Linked DNA regions of Drosophila melanogaster. The protein of the gene in region 1 interacts with the protein of each later gene in a pairwise test. Each region holds a gene or a part of one and is shown in the gene's direction. Other genes may lie near its edges.

Region 1 (8,210 bases):
ACACACGAAGAAATTCATAATGTTTTTCTTGTAGAAAAGTACTAAGCTAAAAATTACTGAATAAATGTTTATTGCTTACATTAACATGATTGTTATAGCCTATAACCTAATGTTTGTTATAACCTAATTATATCACATATTTTCGCTCAGTGTGCGTGTTACTGTCGATGGAGATTTGCATTGGTTATTAGCTCAGCTGCTCATCGGGACCTTCGAACTGCTTGTGTGTGTGTGTGTGTGTGTGGATGCTCCTGTGTGCGTTGTCTGCGGTTTCGATTTTGTTGACAATTTGCAGCGTAATTAATTGAACCGAAATTAATAAAAACAACAATAAACCGCCAATCGGACAGACGATGACGACACAGCCGGGCTTTCGTTGCATGTTGTTGTTTGTCATTTGGTGTTGCTCCAGTCGTGTTTGTGGCTGTTTTGTAGGGGGTTTGGATGAAGGGGACTACAATTGGCAGCGACGAGTGATACATAATGTTAAATGACTTAAATGCTCGAATGACGGTGGCCAGGCGAAAATACCAAATCACGTTGCTCGAAGCAGCAGCACTACTTTAGCCATCGCTCACGATTAGCCACGATCTTTTGGGGGCTGCCATTTCGACGGGTTCATGTGGCAGTGTGGCTTTTCTGGCAGTTTCACTTTTCGCCTTCTTGTGTGATTTGTTAAGCTTTGTCAATGGCCGAGCATATCCATTATTCTTCATACACGATTAGTTTTCGATGCTCGGATGTTAGTCGTGGTTGCGAACGCTTTTCATGGCTAATAAGCGTTGATTGATATGAACAGGCTACACTATTGTACCGAAAGTGATCCATGTTTATGTCAATGGGTATTTAAATCAACGTTGGATTAGCATATCACAGATCTGCAGCTGAACTCTTATATTTTTCCCATACAATAGACAAAAGACAATGTACTCAATTAAATAACAAACAAATATATTTTCACATTATCATTTTATGTTCACTTTAATTTGTAATAGAATTACTTAAACGCATCATTAAAGATTTCAGCAAATAAATATTACATTTTGAGCATGCACAAGTTAATGGTAATGCAATAAAATTCCATTCATACGTTGCTCAACCAATTAAATCGAAATACCTGCAGCATTGACAAATAAAAAGCACTTAAAGAGTTAATTTCATTTATTTTTATGTTAATCGCATTGCAATAATTGCCTATTGTCAATCCGTGAAAGTTAACAAAGTAACTTTACTATGCCATTCATAAGTCTACCAACTGATTCATATGCCCCGCACCCACGCGACCCTCACTTATGCAAATCAGCAGTATCACAGAGCTCACGAAAATTAATTATCACTAAAAATGAGACGAATAGAAAAAGGTAACGTAACCGAGCTGAGGAACAACAACTTAATCGCCTGGCATTTCCGCTCGTCCAATTCCACTCGAAATAGCCAGCTTCCACTTCCCAAAAGCCAACAAGAAATACAGGCAGAACGAAAAGATAACCTGTGCAGGTGGTTATGACCGTGAGGGAGCGTGGGCTGGCCAAGTCGAGTGTATTTCCGCTTGAAAGCGGCAATAACGATATTTGTAATAATAAATTTACGTAAAATATAAAACAAAATCAACGTTGACTCAAGACCCAGTCGCCGCCCACTCAGCGACACCAACGCTTTTTCGAGGCTGCAGACAAAGTTAACAGCCGACAAGGTAGCAACAGTACACACAAAACAGCCAGCTCAGAAGCTTGGCCCGAAGCCCCACGATGCTCACAATTAGCCGAGTCGAGAGAGTTTGTATACAAAAGTCTCTGCTTTCTCACTGCTTTCCCGTGCGATGGCCATAAATGGTCGCAGACACGTCTCACAGACTTCCTTAGCGGGATCGCCGGCCATCCAAGTGGGCCAAGAGGGAAGGGGCTAATAGCTGATGGCTTATAGCGTTTGGGGCCCCCCTTTGATCGAACTTATACTGGGCATCGCGCCTGGCTTTCTGACCATATTAAGGCAAATGCGATTTCCGAAGCTGGCAATTAAAAGCCAAAGCCAAAGCTGAAACTCAGAACATTTGCATAAGCAATTGAGCGACATGGCAGGTGGAGCAGGGGCATTATTCACGCTCAAATTAGATTAAAAGTAATGACAATTAACGCCATAAAATTCTAGTACTTAAGTAGCAATTAGTTAAACTTATATAAATTCAGTCTTTACAAGCATGCATTATGGCAATTATTAGTGTAAAAGTGCGAGAAATTATTTAAAACTGATTATTTTTTAAAATGTATATATTTTATTACCACGTTTTCAGCCCCTTTTGGCCATGCCCATATATTTTTGGACTTGGTCACAAAACAAACATTCAAAAGTGACGTTTGTTTTTTTAATTATGGCTCGCTTATTCATGTTCTTGTCTTTGGGAGTCGTCGTCGTTCGGCAGATTAAGCTGTCAGCAAAGAAACACAACATTTTGGCCACTTTGTATGTATTTTTAAATACGCTCAGTTAATCAAAAATATTCGTACATATATAATTTGATTTTCAGCTCCCTTCGCACGCAAATCAAATTAATGTTGCATGCGTTACTTTTCCACTCTCCTAAAATGTGTGACGACCTTGTGCCATGAAAAATGTATGCTTTCTGGGCATGAAAAAAAAAAGAATCATAATCAAATTTAACTGTTGTCATCATGATTTATTTACTCAAGAACAAAACACGACAAACGATGACGAACTCGCCTTCAGACAGAAGACAGAAGCACAAAGATAAATTAATCGCCAGTCAGTCACAGAGTCGATCGGTCTATTGCCCGAAGTCATTTATTCACAAATGCTCGTATATGAGTATATCGGGGCAAACTCGAGATTTAAGCCGGGTATGTCGTCATAGCTACAATAATGAGAAAACAACTTGTTTTGCCTGCAGGAGCAAATCCATTTTGCAATTATTTGCCTGTTTCAGTTAATTATAATTATTTGCGAAGCAACAAAATGCAAGCAAAAACAAACTATACAAACATGACTCTAAACAATATTCTTTGTTGAAAAATAAAAAAAAATCGGGTTCCAACAACTGAATTGTGACTTTGAAATCAGCTTAGCACTTTGAAATTAGACGCTATGTGAAAACAACTTGAGAAGTGCACACACCCAATACATCTGAACTGAAACTGATCGAAACGAATTAGAATAAATTATAAAATCCAAATATATGGACAGGAGTCAAAAGCGTCGGCTATCAGATACCCATCAAAAATATTTTAATTACAATTTAAATTGCTGAAAATTACTGAACACCACGTTTCGAAGAATTGTTATTATATATATTTATATTATCTTACAGGAAATACTTTAAATACTTGTCATGAATTAAAGTTAAAACAACAAAATTCCACCATCCATTCTTAAAACACTTAAATGACAAACAAATGAGGAGATTTCCTTGAACTTTACTTCGACGTGCCTCATAATTCGCCACGAAATCCAAGTTGATCCAAATAAATACCAAGAATGAGTATCATTTATGGTCTGGCAACCAAAGTTCAACCTTAAAAATGGAGATCCGACACAAGTCAAGCTTTGGTAGCTGATACCATCTCAATCAAAGGCGAATAAACATTTTTAACTATTTTCAAGTGAGCTCAAGCAATGTCTGACTTGTACAAATGAATGTCAAGCGCTGCTGCAGCAGCAAATAAAATTAGCAATAAATTTAAATAAATAACTGCCTGGCGATATTAGATCATACGAAATCTCAGGGGGCCGTCTACGCGTACTCGTGGTAGCACTCAAAACACTCGAAACGAAACCGAAAATCCATCCGAATCGGAAATCACTCAAGAGAGTGCGCCAAAGACCAACTGGGACCGTACTATGCGATACAGTACGATACGATACGATCCGATACGATACGATCCCATCCGATCCGGCCAACGCAAAAAGCACCCACACATCGGGTGGATGTGGATATTTGGGGAAAGAGAGAACTGGTTTCTCTTCAATGACTTTGTGCTGAGCTGTGCTGTGTTGTGTTGTGTTGTGCGCTGGGCTGTTTTGTGTTGGCGTTGGCGAGCGCCAGTGGGTTTCTCGGTTTATTGGTCGTCGCTGAGAAAACGAGACTGTGCTGCCTTTTAATGCGGCATTTCATTCATTGATCGTTCCAATAGCGCGCCGCACGCTCAGCGCAGCGGACAAGTGAGCCAAAAGTCCGACTTCCACTGCCATCGCCGCCCACCTGAGCCGCTAACCTGGCTAACGGAGTCAAAGCCAACTGGGGGCAGTAGTCAGCTGATTTAGCTGCCACCGCATCCCAAGCCAAACCAAGTCAGACCATCCCAGCGATCCGCGAGATATATCTATTCAGTGCACAGCCGACAAGCGCAGCAGGCGGACGCAGCGCAGCATTTTCTCCGTGTATTTTCGTATGCCATCTCGGGATATTGGATACAGATACAGATTCCGAGATACAGATACACAGAACGCGAGCGACGCGCACTCATAGATATTTTTAGCAACCGGCCTCACGCACACCGCCGCACACATTAGTACCGCCGCACTGACACACGCGGCTTGCACGTTTTCACGGAAAATCCATTCTTCGAGGCTTTTCCAGCAGGCCCAAGATAAACACAACTCAAGAATGCGCGAAAACCGTACCGAAGTTATTATCAATAGTTAAACCAGCGGCGCAATCACAACCGCAACAACCACAACCACCGCAATATTAATTCAAACCAAAACAAGTTCCAGAAGTTTTTGAGGAAATAAAAACTGAAAACAAACCTTTTTTGTTGTGTTAACATGCCAAATTTATGCATGAGCTAATAACTTTAAATCCGAAAAGAATAAAAAAAAGTCCAAACAAAACAAAATTCAAACAAAGATCGCATATCAAAATTAGTTGGGTGACTAATTAGACAGCGCGTTGTCGGAATTTCAATTTGCATACTTTGGCGCAACTTTAATGAACCAAAAATTAAAATAAAAACATCAACAAATCTTAATCAGAGTGCACAACTGAATTCAAATCATCCTGAAAGACCAATCCCGCAGCCATACATTGTTGGATTTATGAAATCAAAAAGGTAAATATACCGCCGCCATTTATCAGACATAAGCGTTCAGATATAGAAAAGATATAGAAGATCTGCCCGATCTCTTGTTGCCGCCCCAATAAAAATAGACAAAAGGCATTCCTCTGTCCAATCACGTTAGTGGCTGGCAGATGGGGCAGGGCGGGCTTTTAAGAAACTTCTGAAACATTTATTTGTCCAAGGTGTTGAAAAGCCAGATGTGTGCAGGGGAAAATGTTTTCGAGCTGCTCAGCAGGGAAAACGGCGACGACAGCCAGTTGTCAACTGATTTTCAAAGGTTACCGAAGGGAAGCAGCAACTTGGCTGCGTTTGTTTGCGACCAAAGTAGGGGGAACAGTTTAATTAATGTGCAAACAAAAGCTGTGAATTCTCATCATCAATGAGAGTCCCGCTTAACCTGCCACTCACTTTAAATCTGTGATGTGCTAATCAACGCCGGCATTTATTTATTTACTTTCATTTTCGCCATACCATTCGGCAACAAGCACTATGTTTGCCCAAATAATCGAGTAAAATTGGTTTCTGGCAGCCAGTCAATCGCCGATTTTAATTTGGCATTTATTTATTTAATATATTAATATATTATTCATTTTGTCGAAAGCTAAAATAAACTAGCATCTCATGGGCTGACTCAATACATGATTAAAAAATGTTATTCGTCATAAATATTTTATGATTTACAAAAAAAAAATTCGCCAAAAATACACGCATTAATCGAGTCAAATTTTAATGATTTTTCTGCCATGGAAAGGTGCATCTAAAATTAAATTAGTTTATGGACACATGAGTCTATTGCTACCCTATATATACTTGCCTACCTCATTGTTTGCTGTCCCCCTGACCCAAATCTCGATCGTATGTGGGAAAAGCCAGCGCCCCTCCTTGCAAAGAGACTTAAACAATAACAATAGCAGGAATAAATCAAGAAAAATAAAAGTTAGTCGTAGGCAAATGCCAGAGACCTGTCAAAAAATCAAGCAAATCAAAAGCCGATGGGTAATACAAAACCACACAGAAAGCTATCAAAATATAACTCATACGTATTCGTATTTATCCACACGGTGGTGGAAGGGAGACGGTGAATGTAAACACGGCCACATCACACATACGCAGTGTGTGCCAATTTTAATAAACAAACTCAACGTAAATGGAAAATCAAACAAAATCATTTGGCCAAAGCAATGGCAACAAATCAACAGAAGAAAAAACAAAACGAAATAAAAGGAAAGAAGCGTAAAAAAATCAAAAGACGGCAAAAAAAGAGATGGGTAAAATAACAAATAAGAACTTGCCGCAGGCCGGCTAAAAATAATAGCTGCCAACGGTAGCACACACGAGACTAGCATCAGGGGGACGTGCAACGTGCAACTGGCAACAGCCAACAGCACGAGACAACAGCAACCACACACACACACACACGCGCAACTAGCTAGGCGAGCAACAACAAAGGTTATAGACTATAGGTGACTATGTATATAGTATCGGCAACAAAGTCGAAGCCGAATGAAAGATTTTGACGCTTTCCACAAAAAGCAAATTAAGAATCACAAATCGAGGCAGATAAAAAATAGATAGAGCGCTACGAAAATAAGAAAACGAAAATAGTGAAGGAAGAAAATTCAAGTTGCATACAATGAAAACTAATTTTAGAGCTGTGGAAAAGACAACAACAACAAAACGAATCAAAAACACGGCAGGCACAGAGACAATCTGAATCAGTCGGAGATTCCATAGCGAATCGGTCCAGAGGGCAGCTCTTGAAGTTACGAAAGACAAAGCAACTTTGGATTTCATTCAAAAGCAATAATTAAAGTTGAAAGTTTAGTTCTTGATGATGATTTTACTACTTTAGTTACTTTTTCAATTGAAGGATTACTAATATTTATAAATCAAAGTTTAGATCCGTTTACCATGCTAACTTTATCTTGTCAAGAGAAAACATTGTTCAAACTAAGTCATCTACCCTCGTTATAGCAATGCCTCATGTGGTTCAGTTGCTTTTTTTTCCGTGCCCAAGCAGCAGACGCTTCATTTTCCATTTAACCGCACCCGACTGCCGAAATCCTTGAATTCAACAATTCCTCCTGCCCCGATTTTCCCCCCGGAAAACCCATGGGCGCGCAGACAAGCGTGCAGAAAAAGTTCTAAATTTAATGGCTACACCTAAAAATGCAGCGACTGCAACCGAACCAAAAGTGAAGGGCAGACTGCAGAGGGAGGAGGAGCCACTCGCCGGTAGTTTCAAGTGCACTTCGGCTAGGCCTGGCTAACTTCCCCGTCCCCATTCCCATTCCATCTGATTTTCCCCAAAAAAAAAAAAGTATTTTATATATCTGTGGAACGGGCCGACCCACCCACACGCCCCTGCCCCGCCCCTCGACCCCTTCACGCCTCGTCGCACGCACGGCTCGCCTTTTGTCTACCAAACTGTTGGTAAAAGAGAATGGGATCAGGAAAAGGGGTGCACTGAAACAAAATTCTTCAACTGCAAATAATTGTAAGGAAAAAAACTTTAAGAATTTTTTGTTGTCAAAAAGCTCAACATTTTATTTGAATATGAGATCTTATAAATATATCATATAACAAAAACACAACTTAGTTTGATAAGCTGAAATGTTATAAGCAGTAATCAAACATAACAGCTTTATTGTATTTGATTGAACGTATTTCTTTCACATTCCTCCGATTTTTCTCAGTGTCAAAATGAAATGTTGGGCTTTTGTGTAAGAGGAACTGTTCTATGTTTGTTGTCTGTGCATTTCAATTGGGCGCTTTCTGCATTGTGCCGGCGTGTAATTGAAAACTTAAGCAGAGGCACCACCCCGCCCTCCTTCCCCCCCCCCCACCGCTCACTTTGTCCACGAAAAGCGCGCAACAAATTTTCCAATCAACAGAGAACGAAACAGGCCCTATGCACTATAAACTGCGCCCCGCTAACTTCCTGCTCCACTTCCTTGCAGCATATCCTGTATCCCTCCGGTTGCGACTCCGAAAATCAGGAGGCCGCTTGTTGCTGTTTGTTCAACAAACGTTTATTAGCCGCGAATACTTTTAATCGCATGCAATTTGTTGATTGCGGACAGTCGTTGCACTTTCCACGCTTTTCCACCCACCCAGCGAAAAGGCCCACTTTAAGCA
Region 2 (9,035 bases), on another chromosome or scaffold:
GCCACCAAGTCGAAATATAAATATATATATTTATATACGTATGTATAGTGGCGGATATTGAGGTGTTGACAAGACACCTGTATTTTCGTGGGAGGTGGAGAAATAGTTGGCTTTAGGGACAACTTGACAGCAAATTTGGCGCTCCATTGGCGTGCGCATGTCGCCAAGAAAAAAAAAAAAAAAACACGGCCAAGTGCGTTGTGCTCCGACAGAGGGCGCTGCAAGGTGGCAAACGGACAATTGAAAAGTTAATTGAACGGCACTTAAAACGCAATTAATTACCAAATCGCTGACACGCTGAGTAGGCCTACAAGGAAGCGCTGAACTTGACAACGAAAATGGAGAGCGGAAAGCCAAAAAACGAAACTGAAACTGAAACCGAAACCGAAACTCAATCGGATAGCAGTATCGAAACCGTGGACAAAAAGACAAATTACCCGAAACCAGTTTTGGCCCAAGACAATTGTCAAATTGTCAACCAAGATGCCGAGACACTTTTGTACTTGTTACCGGTTTGCTCTTCGGATTTTTTTTTTTCTTTTTATTTTTTTTTTTTTGTCTTTTCTTGAGGGCGCCACTTCTTTTTTGGGGCGGCTAATTCTGACGCCCCATATAAAGTGGTGCGCGTCGGGAGTGGTCGACATCATTAAGTCGACGTCTCTGCCAGAGTCGGACGGATATATACAGTCGTCAGTCTGAAAGTCATCGCAACCTGTGCGGCACGTGCCACTTCATCCTCGAGCAAACCGAGTAGTCCAGTGCAAAGGAAGTGATTCCACAATGGCAGGCAAAGTGAGTTTAATAAAGTGGAACTCTAAGCAGCTCGATTTAAAAGGCATTTCAATGGCGTACAAAATGGCCAACTTTCAAGGCAATTGCTAAACTCGTGTGTTACTATATCCTTTCTCGAAAAAAAAAATATCCAGCCAACTTGTATTTTTCTATAAATCCGCAAAAATTCCATATCGATTAAATGTTTAAATTCGGTGTTGGCCAAAAAATAGGAAGCAAATTCAATTTCAGTGCAACTGAATTCATAACTTGTGATTTGCATAATCACGAAAATAAAACCAATCCAATTGGCATTGCTTCGATTTTAAATTAATATTGGATTTGAAAAATTGTATAATGCAATTGGATTTTTGTATTGCATTTGCACGTATGAAAACATAGTTTTTGGCTAAAATATAAAGTAGCGCACTTCTTTTAGCAAAATTAACTTAAATTATTAACAAAATGAAGTGAATGAAAAATGTTGAAATAATTTAAACCCTTTTTCCGTGCAGCTCCTGACTGTTTTCTCCCTTCTGGCCATCGCCGCATCCTGTCGCGCAGGATTCGCCGCCACCTATGCCGGCTATCATCCCGCCTATGCCACCTACCAGGCACCGGCTGCCGTCTACCATGCGGCACCAGTGGCCCAGGCTGCTGTCTACCAGCAGGCGGCTCCAGTTTACGCCAAGACCTTTGTGCCAGCTGCTCCTGTATACACCAGATCCTATGCCCTGCCCACTCCAGTTGTCAAGGCGGTGGCTCCTGCTCCTCTCGCTCTGCCCGTTGCTGCGCCGGTGGTGAAGACCCTGGCTGCTGCTCCCGTGGTCGCTGCTCCAGTGGTCAAGACTGTGGCTGCTGCTCCCGCTGTACTGAAACAGGTAGAGTTGGAATCTTCGCCGCGCTACGACTTCTCCTACGGCGTTCACGACAGCATCACCGGCGATATCAAAAGCCAGGTGGAGACCCGTGACGGTGGCAATGTTGTGGGATCCTATTCCGTCCTGGATGCCGATGGTTTCAAGCGCACAGTGACCTACACCGCCGACGACATCAACGGATTCAATGCGGTGGTCCAGCGGGAACCGGTTGTCGCTGCCCGCGCAGTTGCTGCTCCAGTGGTTTCCGTCTCCGCTCCAGCTCCAGTTCCCGTCCATATTTCCTCCGCTCCCGTTGCCTCGCTGCCCGCTCCCATCTACTATCCACACCAGCAGGTGTTCGCCCCACAGCAGATTCAACAGGTTGCCGAGCAGCAGGGTGAGGTGGTGGAGTCTCCTGTGGCCCAACAGCCCGAGCTGGAACCCACTCCCATTGACTACAACGAGGGTCAGCAGCAGCAGCAGGAGCAGCAGCAGCAAACCTATCCCCAGGATCAGCAGTTCCCACCCTACTCGCCAGCTGGTCAATCCTCCCCAGCTCCTGACAGCGATGATTCCGACGTGGTGGAGGCACGATCTGCCCCGGAGGCCAGCAGCACCACCACCACCGCTGCTCCAGTTACGGAGGAGAACAAGAAGACGGCCTAGATTGGATTATGAACGGAAATATTGTTGAAATTAATAAGGAAATGAATAAAATACTTCGAGAATACATAAAAAATTGTCTACTAATTCAAATTAAATGTAGTTTAGTTACATTTATAAGCTGATAATTCAAAAGCTTAAATGCGGCGATTTTAATAATTAATTTACCACATTAATTTAGCGGATTACTTCTCAAAGAATCGAAAAACAAACAATTGAAAAAGGGACTAAATCGATTGGCAGCAATCATCTCTAAAAAAAATTTTGTTTATTTCTGACAACCGCATATAAACAAAATGAAAAGAGCATTAACCGGAAATATCTGCGCATTTATTGCATTATTACTGATAATCGAGAGATTAAATGGTATTAGTGCAATGATAACATATTTGCAAGCAAAAAAAAAGAGACAATCAAATTTTATATTTAAAGGTAGACAGATAAAATCAGTACCTTTTATTATCCAATTAAATATTGATTTAGGTGGCTATTTTTTGTCTTATTAAATATGGATAGAGCTTTACATTTTAACACATATTCGTTGAATAAATTAACAACAAAGATTGAACATAAATATTTATGGAAATTGTAATTGAAGCTTTTAAACGTATAGCCTTAATATTAAACATTATTAATATTATATTATTTTAAGATGAAGGTTTTCCTTACAAAAGTAAAGACGAGAAAGTAAAACATAAACATTTGTCATAAACATTTAAATGAGCCCGCGTGGTGTGCAGATTCAGCCGACTTCTATTCAGCTGTTGGCTGAATTTGGCTTGCATGCGCACACGTTCCACGTTCCACAACAACATATTGAAATCCAAAAGCTGCTTCACCACTTGGCAAGCGATCGTTAACAAGTTACACCAGAAATTTATATATACTAAAAAAATAATAAGTTACTTAAAAATTTAGTAATAATTATGTGGATATAAAAAATGTACATTATTTTTCTCTACGCGCCGTTGTCCGAAGTTAACAGCAAGATAACATGCGATATTAGGCACCTACGTTCACACTGGCATCAAATTTCGATAACTGACAAAGATCGATAGCCATCTGCGTTTCGTTCGCCACTAAGGCTTGCTTTTCAAATCAAACGGTAAATTCTGGCGGCGCCAAGCAGGCATTGACTCCAATTTCGCATCGATTACGAGAGTACTGTCTACGTTTGTCTACAGTTTCACCGACACATTCAGCGTGCTAACACGCTCGACAAATTCTCGTGCTCGCGTTTCGTTAGGGAACGATAAAAATTGTGTAAAAATTCAGTAAAGTGAATTTCCATTCGAAAAAGCCAGCACACGCATTCAAAAGGGCAAAGGTACAAAGGTAAGTGCGTGTGTACTCTTTTCTTCCTTTTCGCGGTTTTTCCCACTGCTTTTTACTAGCGTTCATCAATTTGACCGCCTCTTCGTGATCTCCTCTTCTCGTTCCCCTCTTTCCGCGAATCGGCAAATGGCGGCTGCTGCAGCTGTTGCCAACCAAAGGCGTAGTTCTTAACTCGCGGGGGCTTGAGCGATTGGGTGCCCCGTTAAAAATAATCTTGTAAATTAGTTGGCTTATGTTGGCTAACACATAGGAATAACATATCGAGTTGCTGGCCACAAAGAAAACCCCTTTTTTGAACTCATGGTTACGCCCCTGTTGCACGCCGAAAGGAATATAAAAGACAGAGATAAAAAAAAAGAACCCAAGCAGCCCTTGATTCTGCTTCTTCCTGACATTGACTCACATTTTCCTTTTCAGTTTCACACATTTCATCGCAGCAGCAAACATCTAAACTTTTAAAGAAAAAACACAAAACTCAAAAAAAAAAAAAAAATGAGTAAGGCGGATTCTAACTCACGACAGGGCTCCTACAAGGCCAACAGCATTAACACGCAGGTAATGTACACAAGATCCTCCGCAGAACTGCGTTCGGAACTAACCTCACTTTTTGCCCTAGGACTCACGCATGCGCCGCCATGAGGTGACCATCGAGCTGCGCAAGTCCAAAAAGGAGGACCAGATGTTCAAGCGGCGCAACATCAACGACGAGGATCTAACGTCGCCGCTCAAAGAGCTCAATGGCCAGTCGCCGGTGCAGCTGTCCGTGGACGAGATAGTGGCGGCCATGAACAGCGAGGATCAGGAGCGCCAGTTTCTGGGCATGCAGTCTGCCCGCAAGATGCTCAGTCGGGAGCGCAATCCACCCATCGACCTGATGATCGGCCATGGTATTGTGCCCATTTGCATACGCTTCCTGCAGAATACCAACAAGTGAGTAGTGGCTTTAGAATGTTGATGAGAGCATTATTGAATATCCCCTGATTCGCCGCTACAGCTCAATGCTGCAGTTCGAGGCCGCTTGGGCGCTTACCAACATCGCCTCTGGCACATCCGACCAAACGCGCTGCGTTATCGAACACAATGCTGTGCCGCATTTCGTGGCTCTGCTCCAGTCCAAGTCCATGAACCTGGCCGAGCAGGCAGTCTGGGCTCTGGGCAACATTGCCGGCGACGGAGCCGCCGCCCGCGACATTGTCATCCACCACAACGTAATTGACGGAATCTTGCCACTGATCAACAATGAGACACCGCTCTCTTTTCTGCGCAACATCGTCTGGCTGATGTCCAACCTGTGCCGGAACAAGAATCCATCGCCGCCATTCGATCAGGTGAAGCGGCTGTTGCCCGTCCTGTCGCAGCTTCTGCTTAGTCAGGACATCCAAGTGCTGGCCGACGCCTGCTGGGCTTTGTCCTACGTCACGGACGACGATAACACCAAGATCCAGGCTGTGGTCGACTCGGACGCAGTGCCGCGCCTGGTCAAACTGCTGCAAATGGACGAGCCGAGCATTATTGTGCCCGCCCTGCGCAGCGTTGGCAACATTGTGACTGGCACAGATCAACAGGTAGGAAAACAAATGATTTTAATCCTTATTGTTATAACATGCCTGACCGACCTGTTTTTTTTTTTTTTTTTTATTAGACTGACGTTGTAATTGCATCTGGAGGTTTACCAAGGCTGGGACTCCTTCTACAGCACAACAAAAGCAACATTGTGAAGGAGGCTGCCTGGACGGTCAGCAACATCACAGCAGGTAACCAGAAGCAGATCCAGGCTGTGATTCAGGCCGGCATCTTCCAGCAGCTGCGCACCGTGCTGGAGAAGGGTGATTTCAAGGCTCAAAAAGAGGCTGCCTGGGCGGTGACAAACACCACGACATCTGGCACTCCCGAACAGATCGTCGATCTAATTGAGAAGTACAAAATATTGAAGCCTTTTATCGATTTGCTGGACACAAAGGATCCGCGTACCATCAAGGTGGTGCAGACGGGCCTATCCAATCTGTTTGCCCTGGCGGAGAAACTTGGTGGCACCGAGAACCTATGCTTGATGGTCGAGGAGATGGGCGGTCTAGACAAGCTGGAAACTCTGCAGCAGCACGAGAACGAGGAGGTCTACAAGAAGGCCTACGCCATCATTGACACATACTTCAGCAACGGCGACGACGAGGCCGAGCAAGAGCTCGCACCTCAGGAGGTCAACGGAGCCCTCGAGTTCAATGCCACCCAGCCCAAGGCTCCCGAAGGTGGCTACACGTTCTAATCGCCCACCCCACACATTCCAAACTCCGCTCACACGCCTTACAAACAACTACACCTTCGACCGCGCTCACACACTATGCCATTGTCAAACATACGCATACTCATCATCACATCTTACAAACATTCCCAAACACTTTGGAGGTATGCATGGAAACACAGGCGAATGCATTAGCTTAAAGTCATAATTGAATCGGGTTGGCAAAATCCACTCGCATGAATCCCCATTTAACATACCCGTATTCCTCGCGTTAGACTAGACTTCACAGATTGCAGCATGGATCTTTCTGGCAGTGTTCCTCGTTCACGATGCAACCGCTCGGGCAGCTGCGCTGGCTGGGATCCGTGGATCATAGTATTTCCAGAATCCGTCTGTACAGGGGGCACCTTATGTTTGCGTGTACTAGGCTTTTTATTGGATACGTTTCGAGCTCATTTCGGATATATTTTAGGCTGTTTAGTATTTATTTATGTATACAGGAAACGCTTTTAATCCTCCACCTTCGCGCAAGCATTACAACAACAACAACAACAACAACAACTCATTCCCTTCACACCAGTGTCCTCATTCCCGAATCGCATGTTTATATTCAAAGTTGTCAATAAATAATGAATTGTTTGAATGATTAATTAAATTTCATGTGTATTTAAGCTGCATTTGAGCATTGCGAAAATTGGAGCCTATTTTTGGGCCTTGGCATTTTTTTTTGTATATTATTTGGAATGCTATTGGGATATACACCGATGCAGGCAATCGAATTTAAAATGTTATCCCTTCGATGCGCTGGCGCCTTTTGTCCGTAAATCCGCGATAAAAAGTCATGCAGTCAATACATGTTTTTTTTTTTGTCTTGTACATTTAAATCGCATTTGGGCCGTAAGCGGATAGCCGGAAGATTAAGAGCTATCTACCGCAGCCACGCCCACTCGAGCAGCGGTGGACAGCGACCCCAAAAAAGTTCCAGATTAGATATAATGATTAAACAACCGACGAGTGAGTAGTGAGTAGTAGTCTACTACTGGCACAGAACGCGCACCACGCACAACTCAATCAAGATGAATCGCAGCGTTCGTGGTTATTGCAGTGATCCAGAGGGTAAGCTTAATCAGTGGAGCGACGACGTCACATCAACAACCATGTCCACGTACGATCTTGTTCCCATCGGATGCAGTGCGTCGAATTCGGCGAATCGTGTGTGTGTGTGGCAAAACAAATTATAAAAATAGATTAAAAATTCAGCATGGGCAAAGTAGTTGCCGAAAATTCGAACTGAATTGTGGAAGCATTGGCCGCCATCCGGAGCTTTTGCCTCCGCGTTGCCCAAATTGTCGTCACCGATGGATCGGATCTATGTATTCAATTGGTTCTTTCTCGAGCTATTTTATTATTTCCGAGCGCAAGCGTTTAGTCGACTTTCTGCCGAAGCTGCGTGCGGGCGTGAATCTCTAAGGGCAACTAATTTATATAATTGCAAAACGATCTGAACTGACATTACGCATTTGAAACTTAAAAATTTCTAACGATTTTTAAAAAAGGTAATAGAGAATAGTGCAAGTGATGTGAAACCAATCGGTAGTTTCGTAAATTGCCTTGTGTGTAAATCAATTCGCATTTTCACTGAATGTGTGTCGAAATTTTCACAACTATTGTTGTTGATGATGCCACTTCGAAAACAATTTTCTGATCTCATATGCCTCACTGAGAATCCAGTTGGGGATACACCATATGCCACTTGGTGCATTTAAACGTTTACAAAATACAAGAAAAAAAGTGTGAAAAAAATCGAAAGCACTTTTGACAAACTCATGATGCAGTTAATTTCGTTGAATAAAACAAAAAATTGGCACACCAAAAATAAACAATAAACATCTAGCACTAGAACAGCGCTACTTTATAGCGACTACTACATAGCGTACACAGCAAGAAATTTGTACTCATTATAAAATGTTTAATTTTAATCATTGGGAAAACATTTAATTTTGCTGTGAATTGATAGAATAGTATATTACCTATACTAAATCTATTCAAAATGCATTTTAAAGTTGTTCATGTGATAAAATTGTGAAAACTGAAAGAGTATGAGTGACATGATTTTCTGATAGATTTTTCTTGCAGTGTGGGCAGCGTGGCTCTCGCGATTTTGAAGCGGAAAACGGTCTTTTTTTCCGTTTCGGTCCGTTTTTATTTTCCGATTGGGGTGGGTGGGCGCGTATTTTGTTTGTTGATGTGGCAATTAAGCGCGCAAGTGTGCGCGTCGCGTAGAAATCGGCGTGCAGAGCTGCAGCTTCGAATCGACAAACTATATAGTACATATATAGCGAGTGGGCATTGAAGTGGGCGTGGGCGTGGGCGTGGTAGGCGGTGGGATTGGGTTTGTTTGCCATAGAACGGCGGCGGCTGCCGAAATTCGCGTGAAATTAAAAGTTGCCGCAAATATATAGCCACAGCACTGTCACAAAGTTTTCCGCCTCGGCGTTTCCGCTTTGTTTACTTGCCGAAAATAGTGTCAAGTTTGGCCTAGTGTGTTCAGTTGACTTTATTTGTTCAAGGCGCTTCTTTTGTATTCGCCAAATGAAATGGTAGACAATTTACATTTTCATTACAGTGTGCACTTCAAGAGCCAAGGTGAATTTAAATGGGATTCAATGTAGTATCTACTTGCGGCTGGGCCGCATTATATTTTCATTTTATTTAAAGCATCTCATGGCCCTAATAAATTTGGCCAAGTTTACTTACAAATGTATATCTACATATGTATGTATATACATGGCACATGTGTTTTGCATTATGCCGTAGGGCGCATTTATGCTAAACAATTACTTTTGATAGAATCAACCATGTGGAAGCGATAAATTCACGCCTTTATAATATTAATAAGACTTCATCTGCATACGAAAACACTGCCCAAGGCTTCTCAAGAGATTCAGATTTCATTAGATTCCTGGAAAAAGTGGGCAAGATAATACCCCTTCCAAAGTTGAAAGCTAAGTAATTTATCATGCAATATATCTGTGTATGTTTTTTGTAGCTTTACGAAGATTACGATTTCATTTTGCATACAAAGATTTCAAAACTTGAATTTTCTTGGATTTTTTTGAAGCAACACAATGAGTGAAGCTGCCAATCCAACGCCCTATGATTGCCAC

The links.
Region 2: the proteins of tx (region 1) and Pen interact in a two-hybrid assay, tested with the Drosophila melanogaster proteins (one large-scale study listed by BioGRID).

What each region holds. Positions count from the first base shown.
Region 1 is NT_033777.3:26,436,674-26,444,883, forward strand, and holds the start of tx (taxi), read left to right. Parts: upstream 1-4,104; 5' UTR 4,105-5,063; intron 5,064-8,210. UniProt on the Drosophila melanogaster protein: Probably plays an important role in the differentiation of epidermal cells into the tendon cells that form the attachment sites for all muscles.
Region 2 is NT_033779.5:10,053,576-10,062,610, forward strand, and holds Pen (pendulin), read left to right. Parts: upstream 1-3,324; 5' UTR 3,325-3,629; intron 3,630-4,046; 5' UTR 4,047-4,121; coding exon 4,122-4,184; intron 4,185-4,245; coding exon 4,246-4,559; intron 4,560-4,623; coding exon 4,624-5,194; intron 5,195-5,271; coding exon 5,272-5,892; 3' UTR 5,893-6,520; downstream 6,521-9,035. Other genes in the region: Cpr31A (cuticular protein 31A), read left to right, coding at 781-792, 1,287-2,297; Spn31A (serpin 31A), read left to right, coding at 8,997-9,035. UniProt on the Drosophila melanogaster protein: Binds specifically and directly to substrates containing either a simple or bipartite NLS motif. Promotes docking of import substrates to the nuclear envelope. Seems to act as a cytosolic receptor for both simple and bipartite NLS motifs.